Linked DNA regions of Styela clava. The protein of the gene in region 2 purifies or fractionates together with the protein of the main gene of each other region. This does not show direct contact. Links are inferred from orthologs where the notes say so. Each region holds a gene or a part of one and is shown on either strand. Other genes may lie near its edges.

The links. Proteins that work in one complex are often made in the same cells at the same time.
Region 1: the proteins of coiled-coil domain-containing protein 97-like (region 2) and splicing factor 3B subunit 5-like purify together in Homo sapiens (affinity purification with mass spectrometry; 3 studies listed by BioGRID and IntAct, counting the BioPlex papers as one, with this or other methods). This does not show direct contact. The link is inferred for Styela clava from reciprocal best matches to the Homo sapiens genes CCDC97 and SF3B5.

The regions. Positions count from the first base shown.
Region 1 is NC_135262.1:19,156,965-19,162,820, reverse strand, and holds splicing factor 3B subunit 5-like, read left to right. Parts: upstream 1-2,365; 5' UTR 2,366-2,452; coding exon 2,453-2,713; 3' UTR 2,714-3,480; downstream 3,481-5,856. Other genes in the region: derlin-1-like, read right to left, coding at 59-154, 332-358, 832-896, 1,196-1,307, 1,400-1,499, 2,090-2,148; SUMO-activating enzyme subunit 1-like, read left to right, coding at 3,528-4,568. UniProt on the Homo sapiens protein: Component of the 17S U2 SnRNP complex of the spliceosome, a large ribonucleoprotein complex that removes introns from transcribed pre-mRNAs.
Region 2 is NC_135257.1:17,904,610-17,911,029, forward strand, and holds the start of coiled-coil domain-containing protein 97-like, read left to right. Parts: upstream 1-2,286; 5' UTR 2,287-2,373; coding exon 2,374-2,425; intron 2,426-2,989; coding exon 2,990-3,392; intron 3,393-4,711; coding exon 4,712-4,884; intron 4,885-5,686; coding exon 5,687-5,783; intron 5,784-6,420. Other genes in the region: cytochrome b-c1 complex subunit 6, mitochondrial-like, read left to right, coding at 1,582-1,875. UniProt on the Homo sapiens protein: May play a role pre-mRNA splicing through the association with the splicing factor SF3B complex which is involved in branch-site recognition.

The DNA.
Region 1 (5,856 bases), on a different chromosome or scaffold from region 2:
ATGAAATAGACACTCAATACACAATTATAATTGTCTAAATTTCTACAAATAAACTCACCTTAAACCTGGTTCCAAACCAGAATGATACAATTTGATCGCGATTTATTTGACACCAAACGTACAAAGCAGAGAAAATGAGTAAATCAAACATGATCTAAAAATAAATATATAAGTAATGAAAATCATTTTTAACGTGCTTATAAATGCTCAGCACTGGTGACATTATAATGTTGGATTACTTTGATGAACTCCAAAACTGAGTATGTGAGTCTTAGTCTTCTAGATATTTTAAGCATATTGAAATGATGAAAGCATAATTAAATTAACTTACCCTGATTTCCAGAGCCAATGCCAATCCCTGAATTAAAAAAAAACAGGTATGGTTAAATTAATTCAGATGGGCAGAATGAAAAAAATGCATGGCTTAATTTGCTCCTATGAAATGTAATAAGTTATTATAATTTTCAAGTTTGAATGAAAAAGTCAAGAATTTATATGTATTAAAATTTTTCATGAATAAAGCCAAAAATGTAAAACATAGAAACATTGAATAATCAATAAAATTTGAATGCATAAATCCTAATAATAAGGAACATGATATTTTCAACTTTTTTTGAGAATAAATTGACTACTCAGTCATCATAAATTGCGATTGTCGAATATAAGAAATATGGTAAATTTGAACAGAACCGAAAAGTGATTCAATACTTGGCCAAGTAGATCACTTACGATTCATGCTTTGAGAAATGTAAGAAGGTTAGGCTACTACTATAATTTCAACAACTACAATCAGGTATAGAGCAAGGCTACATTCATGAAAATAGTTCCTACCACTGTAGTAAGCCATGTGAAAGCAAGCATGAAAACATAGTCTGCAGGTCTCCCTTCAAATATACCTGTATGTAAATGTATAAATGAATTAAATATAGAAAGAATGCGTGTGTGATTAAGTCATCCAATCGGCTTTCCTCTCCCATGTGATAAAATATAAAACTAAAATATTAATTTCATAATTTCTGGTAGCAGACGACAAAATGGTAATACCAAGATATACCAGGATGAACCAAAAAGAAATAGTCATAATAAACATTATTTATAAAGCAATATAAAATGTGACCTCTGCTAAAAACAATTGAGATGATGAACAAGGATTATTATGATGTGTAATAAAAAATTAGGTAAGAAAATTAATCACCAGTTTCAAGTCTTGTTGAATAACTGTACAAAAAATATAACATAATGAGATAATGAAAACCAGTCATCGGTGTTATTGGGTAATAAACAGCAGCAGTGAATGGACGCCATATCTGAAACAAGGAGTGAAAGAAAGTATAATTATGGTCAATATTTTAACATTTCTATACATCAAAAATTAGTATTAAAATATATAACAAATTACCTGAAATCTACTGAATAAACTGTACCAATCCAAGATCAAATGCATTCCATTAATAATGTTAAATTTGGCCACAAGTGGAACTACAACTGATGCACTGAACCTGAAAAGAGAATGTGTGTAAAATAATGGTATATTACAGAACATCAGTACTACAGTGGATAGGATAGGATTTACATATTTATCCCGGGGGAGAGGAAAGCCGATAAGACGGCTTATCCATATGGCAAACCACGGCCTCTCGTCCGGTTAGACGAGAGTCCCATTCCAAGTCGGGTATGGGATTAGTTAGTTATACTGTATTGTTTGTTTTCGGAAGCATGGACTTGGTGGTGGAGGAAGCCGTAACCGACCAGCGGTTACGTGAACCACCCAACGACGGCGAGGAGTCCAGCAATCCTCTCGCACATAACCATCTCTGCATGGGATGCGAACCCACGCAGAGTAATTAGAGGTGCGGTGGCGAGCGTATTCCTAATGCTTAACCCATTGAGCCACACCGCCGCGCCGATGTTGGAAGTACATGAGGTATGAAGCTAGGTACTGGTAGATAGGCACAGTACTATATAATGAATACCTGACTGTTGGACCCAAAGACTGTGTGTAAACTGTACCTGTGTAGCCTACCTGTATTGTCTGATTGGAGTGTAACTACAGTCAGTTGGTAAAAAAATTTACGTACCGGTAACTTACCAATAACGAGTTATTCTCGGTATTCCACGATACCAGTCTCCAATATCATTAGACGCCATCTTTGAATATCCCTTATTATAAAACTACACCTAATACTCACGACAAACTGACAAAATATCAATGAAAACTTTAAAAACCAGCAAACAACAAGTTCTTCTTTGCAGACGTGTCTCAAATTATGCACAATAATGTAGATATAATGACGTAGTATGACTTGACAAATATATTGACAGACACATGTGCACCACCTTGTGATCAGATCCAGGAAGGATTACCGTACTTTGGGTTTCTTTTGGCATTTGGTGGTTGTTTGTAGTGAGAATAAGTATTTCGTGAGTGTACAGAGACAAAATATCAATCAAAATGGGGGATCGATATAATATATTTTCTCAAATGGAGCATTTGCAGTCGAAATATGTCGGTACTGGACACTCTGACACTACAAAATGGGAATGGTTGACAAATCAACATCGTGATAGTCTTGCTTCTTACATTGGTCACCCGGATCTTCTAAGTCACATTGCTATTGCGGAAAACGAAACAAGAGCTCGAGTTCGATTTAATGTGTTAGAAAGAATGTTCCAACCTTGTGGACCACCTCCTGATCGTCCAAATGTTGATTGAAGTGTGATTTAATTGGAAAGCGCTTGGAAACTGACATCTGCAGATCTGAGACACATGTCATACCCACCTCAAAATTGACTAGTGTTATGAAGCATGAACTGCCATGTTCTTACTAGTTTTAATATTTAGTTGTTTGAGAAGTTTAAAACTGAAATATTTCACAGGAAATACTGCAATGCTTTGTATTTAATTTGAAATGATATTACTATCTTGATGAAATTAATTTGATTTCACTATGAATAAAGCTCTAGACAAGAAGTCCATATGAAATTAAACTATTTTATTCAATCAAGTATTATTTTTCATATCCAAACTGCTAATAAATGTAGGTCCATAATTACAGAATTAAAATGATTTACAAATAGAGATATGTTCCTAATATTTTCTATTGTAATAGGTTAAATAATTGTGGCTATCTATCCATCGTGGCTTGCGTTTATAGATGAATGTGTTTCGAAATTTTCAATTTTGAAGCCATCCTGTTTTATAAATTTGTCATGTTTTAATTGTTGAAATGGATTGAATCAAATCAGTAATTCTTGTCAGTACAACTCCACTAAGCACAGCTTTAAAAACAATTCATTTTGAGTTATTTTATCAAAATGTAGCCCCGATCAGGCAGGGAAACTTTTTTTGAAACAACTTTATTTTTGTCATTTCTCTTGTCTCACCTAATTCGAACGATATATTATTCATGCTCATGTCAATTTTTTCTTCGACTTCATTTCTTGAAACATGATATTGTACTGCAAATGTTTTTTATTTAGGTAGTAATCTTTTAAAATCTTAATTCTATCAAATATTCAACATTGTAATGATGGAAAAAGAAGCTGATATTACTGCCGAGGAGTTTGCACAATATGATCGCCAAATTCGATTGTGGGGACTTGATGCACAAAAACGTCTTCGTCAAGCTAAAGTTCTTGTTGTTGGAATCGGTGGACTTGCTTCTGAGGTGGTCAAAAATGTTGTACTTGCAGGTGTAAAGGCTTTGACAATGCTTGATGACAAAGTAGTTTCAGAGTCTGATATGGGTTCTCAGCTTCTTGTAACTCATTTAGACATGGGAAAAAATAGAGCAGAAGCATCAATGGCCCGAACACAGCCGCTCAATCCAAATGTAATCGTATCATGCGATAAGATGCCAATTTCGGATAAACCGGATGATTTTTTTCGAGAGTTTGATATAGTTTGTTTAACGGAGGTACCATTCGAAGAAAGGATAAGAATTAATTTAATATGCAGATCATCTGGAATCAAATTCTTTTGTGGTGATGTTTTCGGATTTTATGGATATTGCTTTGCTGATTTGGGGATGCATGATTTTGTGCGTGAAGAAGTGAAAAAAGAGATAAAGTATGATCTTGATGGAGAACCAGAAGCAAAAAAGAGCAAACTAGATGAAAAGGGCAAAAAAGAAGAAGAAAAGATTCTTGTAAAAGTTACAGATGAATTTTGTAGCCTTGAAGAATCTTTAACTGAGGATTGGTCAACAAGATCAAGGAGAATGATGCGACAATCATCATATATTTTTTTTATCATTAAAGTAATTGACAAATTCAAGGAAAAGACGGGTCGAAGTCCAACATTCGGCAAAGAAGATCAAAATTTACTCCTAGAACTGAGAAATGAGGTTCTCAAGGATTCAAATGTTTCAGAAACTTACATTCCTGAAGAATTTCCTCAATTTTGTATTTCCGAACTGAATCCAATTTGTGCGATAACTGGTGGGGTATTGGGCCAAGAAATCATAAAAGCTGCATCACAACGAGATGCTCCACATAATAACTATTTTTTCTACAATGGTCGTAGTCATGCTGGCATAGTAGATCAAATTTGTCCACCTTTTAAATAACGGATGGAATCTCACATTAGCATAATTCTGCAGTTTAAATGCAACTACATAAAACAATAGAATTTAAAATTACTAGCACTAGCACAAGGGCTGGGCACAGACATTTGTTCAGAATTGAACAAGTGCCTAATCTGTTCTCTTCTAGTCATCCCTACTACACTTGGTTGGCAGAATGGCTTGATTTTTTTTTCTGGTTTTTTACTTTGTATTTTTGTATTCTTAATAACCTTTTCCTAGCCTGATAACTAAGAGAAAATGACACCAAATAAGCTCTTTTTTCATGTTATATATATTCAATGTCATCAGAAAATAGCTGCTGTACTGTACACCAAAGCAATAAACTGAAATTATTTGATTGATTGGAAAGATGTAATTACAGTGAAGAAAGTAGAATAAAATAGCGAATGAGTGCATTCGAATGTCAACTAAGCTATTGCGGGTTATCTTGGAATAGAATCATTTTTTAATTTGAAAGGGGGGCTTTTACACTCTAAATTTCATTCATTCATACAGGAGGGCCAGATACAAATATCTGGGTGAAACCACAGGCTGTATGTAGAGTACCTTTGATTAACAAAGGCTTTCTAGTAGTTAAAACACGAAAATGGTTGTGCCATAGATAAATTAATTGGACTCGGGTTTAGGCTTAAAACGCTAAGAGTTTGAAATTAATGGCACGAACCAGATTTAACTAAATTGAAAATTCATGGGCCGGACATTATCAAAAATTAGCGCTCCATCGTGGGCCGCACACTTTTTTTCATTGTAGGCGAATTTGGTTGCACACCACTGCCCTAAATCAATTGATTTATAACCAGTTCAAAACTAATTTAAAAGAGACATCGTTTACATATAAAATAGATAACCCAATCATGGTCTATATAGCTTACCTGCATTAATCGTTTAGTCTATTGACCGGTCAAAAAACTCGTTAAGGTACCTGGACAATCCTTGTTATGTATGCTCTGGACTCCACAAACCTTGTAGCATTCTAATGGCATTATATTTAGGATTTTCATACATACTGGGCCAACAAACGGAATAAAATTTCCAACACACATGTATACATACGTTAATAAAATACGATTTCATCTTGAATTTGAACAAATATACAAACAATTGTCTCAATATTGAAAAGATAATAAAATATTTGATTGTATGCAGAGAGACGAGAAAAAAAATGTAGATGTAAAGGAGAAAATATATGAAAAGCCAGGTTTTTCAATGTTCATACATGCAGTATGCTTCAACCAGACATTAGGGTAAGCCTGGGTAGTCAAGACTGATA
Region 2 (6,420 bases):
GAATCTATAAGGTATCTGCTTCTCTCCAAATGTGTCGTAGCGCTGCCTTTATTGGCGGTTTCCGAGAAATCGCTATTTCAATTACGATAATTTTTTGAAATTTTGAAAAAAATCCACAAGAGGACGTAAAATGCTTTTTGGTATTTTATACTTTCCGCAACTTATTCCAAGTTTAATGAACGTATAGTATATATGTATGTCCAAGAGAAAAAGATGTTTGATAAATTATCTAGGAAATTTATTTGAAATACCAAACTGTTTTTAAATATGTTACGTCTGCATTGTTTATAAAAGTTTGAATACACGCTATGTTTGGTATTATATATGACCAAGTCAAAACGTGCTGCTACTGTTCTGACATAATAAAATAAAATCTATTAGGTATCTGCTTTACTCCGAATGTGTCGTAGTGCTGCCTTTATTGGCGGTTTTTGAGAAATCGCCCTTTTCAAAAACGATAATTTTTCGAAATTCCGAAAAGGATCCACAAGAGGGCGTCAAATCATTTTTTGGCATTTTAACATTTGCACACTAATTCCAAGTTTAATAAACGTACAGTTTTGTTGTATACCCAAGAGAAGAAAGTATTTGATGAATTTTCCAGTAAATTTAGTTGAAATACCAAACCGTTTTTAAATATGTCACATCTACATTTTTTCAATGAAATTAAAAATATACGCTATGTTTGGAATTATATTTGGCCAAGTCAAAACGTGCTGCTACTGTTCTGACATATTAAAATCGAATCTATAGGGTATCTGCTTTTCTTCGAATGTGTCGTAGTGCTGCATTTATTGGCGGTTTTTGAGAAACTGCCCTTTCGAAAACGATAACTTTGTGAAATTTATTAAACAATCCACAAGAGGGCGTAAATTTTTTTTCAGTATTTCAGACTTTACTCAACTTATTCTAAGTTTAATGAAGTGCATTATTGTTGTGTGACAAAGAGAAAAATATCTTCTTTGATGAACTATCCAGTAATTTTAATTGAAATACAAAATCAGTTTCAAATTTGTTGTATATACATTGTTTTAAAAATTGAAGAATATACGCTATGTTTAGTATTATATATGGTCAAGTCAAAACGTGCTGAGACTGTTCTGACATATTGAAATCGAATCTTTGAGGTTTCTACTTTTCACCAATGGTGTTGCAATGCTGCCTTTATTGGAGGTTTTCATGAAACGACCATGTTACACGACGAAAATTCAGTCATTTTTAAACATCTCTCAAAGAATTATAAAAAAATTTTGTGCACTGTAACAGTCGCTTTAGCTTGTTTACCATATATTAACAATACGAGGAGTGTAGTTAATGATTGTTTTGCTTTAATTGCTATTGTGAAAATAATCAAAATATACACTTTCTTATAAAAATCATTGGGAACATTTAATTTTACGCGTGGGTATTTTCTGCGATTCTGTCAGTAACAATTTCGTGTTTTGCTGCTAGCTTCACAGAGGTCGTTGGTCTGGATTTAACGTTCTGATTGCTGGTTTGGTTCGATTTTTTTTTTGAGTTCATTGCTCGGAACTAAAACTTCGTCGTTTCGTTAGAACTGAATTTCAAGAAACTGCAAAAATGACTCTTGAAGAACAGAAAATTTACGCCAACGACGATCCCGAAGATCCTGAAGACGAGGAAGATGACGACGACGAAGAAGAAGAGGAAGACTTAGTTGACCCAATGGACGCAGTTAAGGAAACTTGCAATAACATTCCGGAGTGCTCGCCCTATAGAGAAGAGTTAGTTCGATGCGAGGATCGAGTGAATAGCCGGAGTCAAACGGAAGAAGATTGCGTCCAAGAACTTTTTGATTTTCTGCATTGTGCAGACCATTGCGTGGCTGATAGATTGTTTTCCATGCTGAAATAACTTTTAGGCCAACTTTAAAAGTGTGAAACTGTGTTTTGGTATTGTTTGTTTAGCATTAAAGTTTAGAACAAGTTATAAATTTAATTATTCTGTATGTGGCAAATTTGTTGAAAATGTTATCACCAATTACAGAATTACTGAATTTCAGAATTAATTTATATTTGGTTTTCTATATTTGAATAAAGTTTTGTGATTTATCAGCGATTGTATTGCTCAATTTTCAATGCTAAATTTAATTAGTTTGTATGGTTTCAAAGGTTAAAATCTTTATCCAAACTGACAAATGCCGTAATACTAAATGTTGATTCTTTATTTACTAGTTTATCACAACACCCAGACACTGTAGGACTGGCTGCGACTGTCTATAGTATAGATATATTTGCAGCTTTAACACTCATGAAATTCTGAGGAATTTTGTGCTGCAAATTTTTCATTTTATTCTGATGTGATTTTGATGGTTCGACTTGAAATCAAGCCCTAAATTGTGGATGTATTTTGATGATCATGGATGAGAAAAATAGCATTGAATGTTTATGTAAAAGACTAGCAGGTGAGTAATTCATACTCCACAAGCAGAAATGTCTAAACAATTGTGTTTTGATGGAATTTCTAAGATATTACTATATGAAAAATGTTTGCAGAGTATTTGTGTCATCAAAAGATAGCTAAATAGTCCAGTTTGAACACCGCAATGCCGCAGAAATTGATAACAAACAAGCCAATGATTTAGAGAGATTGCCAAAACTTCAAATGATGTTTAAGCACGAAACATAAAAGTACTACATGAGCGATCTCACTTTGTCGCACAGGATTTAACTTAAACAAAAAAATAGGATGAAATAACATTTATTACATGTAATATAGGCTTTTGGCTTCAAGCATTGCGATAATATATGCCAATGTCATACGCTCTTCGAAAACCTGAATATTTTTTATTGAAAAAAATTGCTATTTTGCTATTAAAAGTTTAATTGAAGTTTATTATAAATTTTTTTTTACTATATGAATATCATGAATTGAACCCCAATTTAAAAATAAGAGTTTTTGAATTGCTATCATGGGATATAATTTGTTTAAATATAATAAATTGATTTTATCTTTTGTTATTATCAAGGTTTGGATGAAGTTTTCTTACCGATTAAGAAAGTTGGAACAACTCCCGAGGTGATTGAAGACAAAGGAATTCTCACTGCTGAGAAAAAATATGATGAACTTCAAAAACATTTCGAACAAAGCCCCATGAGGTTCTTGCAAAGATACTATGAACATATAAAGCCAAATGAAATTTCCTGCTTCAATTCTTTACCAGAAAATGAGCAAGTCTGTTATTACATCCGGCAGATTTGTCACAAACAAGATCTAAAAGCAAGAACAGAACTTGACAGTCATTATATTTCACATGAAGTTAAAAATCGTCGATATCAAGCTATGCAACAAATGATTAAAGAAGGAGAATATTTTAATGAGGAAGAAATGAGTAAAAGAAATCCGAAGCTTTATCAACATTACATAGGAAGGTTTGTTTATTTCATTGCTCATTAGTCCTGAATCTGTGATATTGTCTAGTGCAGTGGTTCTCAAACTTTTTTTTAAGTGACGCAAGTATTCGAATAAATAGATTTTTGGGTCTTCCGGCCCAAGGATATGCTCAAATACTAAACGTTCAGTACTTTTATGGCCAAAATTAAATGAATATTATCATGAAACAATCATTTTGATATAACACCTATTCCTCCAAAAATTATTTTGAAGTGAGGAAACTGTGTGTGTTTGTCATCAGCATGGAATCGATGCATGGCTTTACTAAAGCAAATTGAATGTCAAGATTTTATGCAGTGATACTGCCCACGCATGCAATTACTATTGAGAAACACTTAAATACCAAATCTACAATAAACAATCAAATTTACTATAAAATAAAATTAGTAACTTTCAGTTTTTTATTGAAAAAAGCGAACTACCCAGGAAATTTTTTAGGCAACCCAGTTTCGGGTCACGACCCATATGTTGAGAAACACTGGTATATTGCAGTGGCTTTCAACTTTTTTGGTGGAGAAGAACACCAATGCAACATTACAGAGACTGGAGGAACCCCTGTGCAATAGTGTGATTGCCTTTTATTGAATAGAATAAACTTTAAGATAAATGTTCAAGTGATGAAAGCAAATTTATACTGGCAATGGCAAGTTATTTTCTTTGGAGTGTAGCAGGTTAAGTTCTGTTACACTCTAACACAAATGTATACAGTCGCACTTTGACAATTATTTTAAGCCAAGTAATCCAAGAGTCTTGCTGTACATAACAAAGCAACACAAATATATTTTTTCTCTGTCTTTGGCCTCCTTGCATTATATGCTTACGGATCCACCTGTGCAAGATCATTGTAGAGGTATGACTACGGTAGTTGGTCCCACAGAAATCTAATTATTAGCACTTTGACTAGGTTAATAATACAATACCGTTTAACAACACTGCTTGGGGACCGTTTGAGGTCATTGATACCATTTTTTTTAATGATAAAGATATTTCTCTATTTGTAATCGAGTACAGCTTGTATCACATTTTAAAGTTATGAGAAAATTTTTTTTTTTTCAATTTCCAGATCTGTACAAACTTAAAATTTGACATTCGGCATACCCTGAATTCAAAACTAAAACAGGTAATAAAACTTGGTTATCTCATCTTTCTTTACCAATATTCTGTCAGAAATCCCCCCCAAAAAAAAAAACAGGCCTATAATCACAAGATATCGAAAAAAGTCCATAACTGAAAAATATGACATTAGCTTTAGCTTTAGTTTTAGTGTGGCATTCCATCTATCTTCTTTTCTCACTAGGTTTCTATCGGCAGAAGAAAAAGAGGAAAGAATGAGTGCAAGAGCTGCTGCCCATCCAACCACACTTTCTGGATTCTTCATGGATGTTATTGAGAAGAAATGGGACAAAGAGGATGAGAATCAAGATGAGGAATTTGATGATGACAGTGAAGAAGAGGAGGAACGTGTGCCAGGTAAATTTCTTCAGGATAGGAATTACATATTCATCCCAGGGAGAGGAAGATGGTAACATGACTTAATCATATCTTGAACCACGGCCTCTCGTCCTGTTATCAGTCAAAGTCAGGTATGGGATCAGTTAGTTATTTGTTTTCGGAAGCATGGACTTGATGGTGGAGAAAGCCGTTACCGACCAGTGGTTACGTGAATCACCCTACGGCGGCTAGGAGTTAACCAATCCTCTCGAACATAACTATTCACGCATGGGATTCCAACATGTGAATCCACGCAAAGTAATTAGAGGTGCGGTGATGAGAGTATTCCCAACGCTTAGCACGATGAGCCACACCACAGCGCCGCGGTAAACTTCTTCAAATTAGGATGGGATAGGATTTGCATATTTATCCCGGAGGAGAGGAAAGTTGATAATAATTGTATTCAATATGAATAAGAATTTCATTTGATTCAAGAAAGTTACCTCGTACTAACACAAATGTACTGATCTCATTCGGATGAAACCTTGCAGAAATACATTTGTGAGAGTTTGACTGGACCCAAAATTGGTTGACCTGTTCACAGAGTTTAGGTTAGGTTTGGTTAGGTCTTCGTTCATCACTGAAACGATGCAATAGAATGACTTTTTTGAATTGTCCAACAAATACTATATTATGACACCTGGACAATTATCAGTGCTAGTACGAGCGGTTGTTAGTACTAGGTTGTGATATGATTGACCACGTTAGTCAGATAGTTTTTTTTTCGGAACAAAATTTAAATTCTGCCATATCCTATTTCCTTTAATCATTCTTTTCATAGATATTTCCGAAGAAGAGAAGGAGTTTTTAGCTGAAGAATTTAAATCCAGAATGTACGAGAGTTTTCTCAGTGGAATGGATAAAAATTTCTCATATGAGTACGTATTTTTACATCGAAAGTGGAGTTTGGTTCATCATATCTGCAATATTACATAATCCTGACTTACTCGAACACAGGTGTCAAGCTCTGCCTTGTTTGAGATAGCGATACCATGGGACTGCCAGGCGATGGACCTGATGCCTTTTCAAGTCTGATAATATTATGTTAATTTTATTCCATCTTTAATAGATCTTTAGCTAGTGGAATATGCAAGTCAACACCTCGCCCACATGTTCCCTCATCCCCCTTTTATTATACATTGAATTATAGTAGTTTATAATGTGTTCATAATTAATTATTATAGAAATAATGAAAAAATACTCAGCAAATAAAAAGCGGATTTTCTTCTTCGAATACTTCCTCCCAGGTTGGGAAACAAGGGGTTATACCTGACATGGGGCCAAACACGGCCGTTGGGTAATTCAAACTGGCTCGCTCGATGCTGCCACAACCAAACTAAAACCAAATTTTGATGTTTTAACTCAAGGAATTTGTTGAGAATGCGATTAAATTTAGTTTTGGCACGAGAATTATGGTTTTCCAGTTTTGCTCTTGCGACACTGTAAATATTGTTCATAAAGTGTAAATTTTTGCGTCACACCCACATGGCCCTTCAGTTTGGGCGGACAAAATTC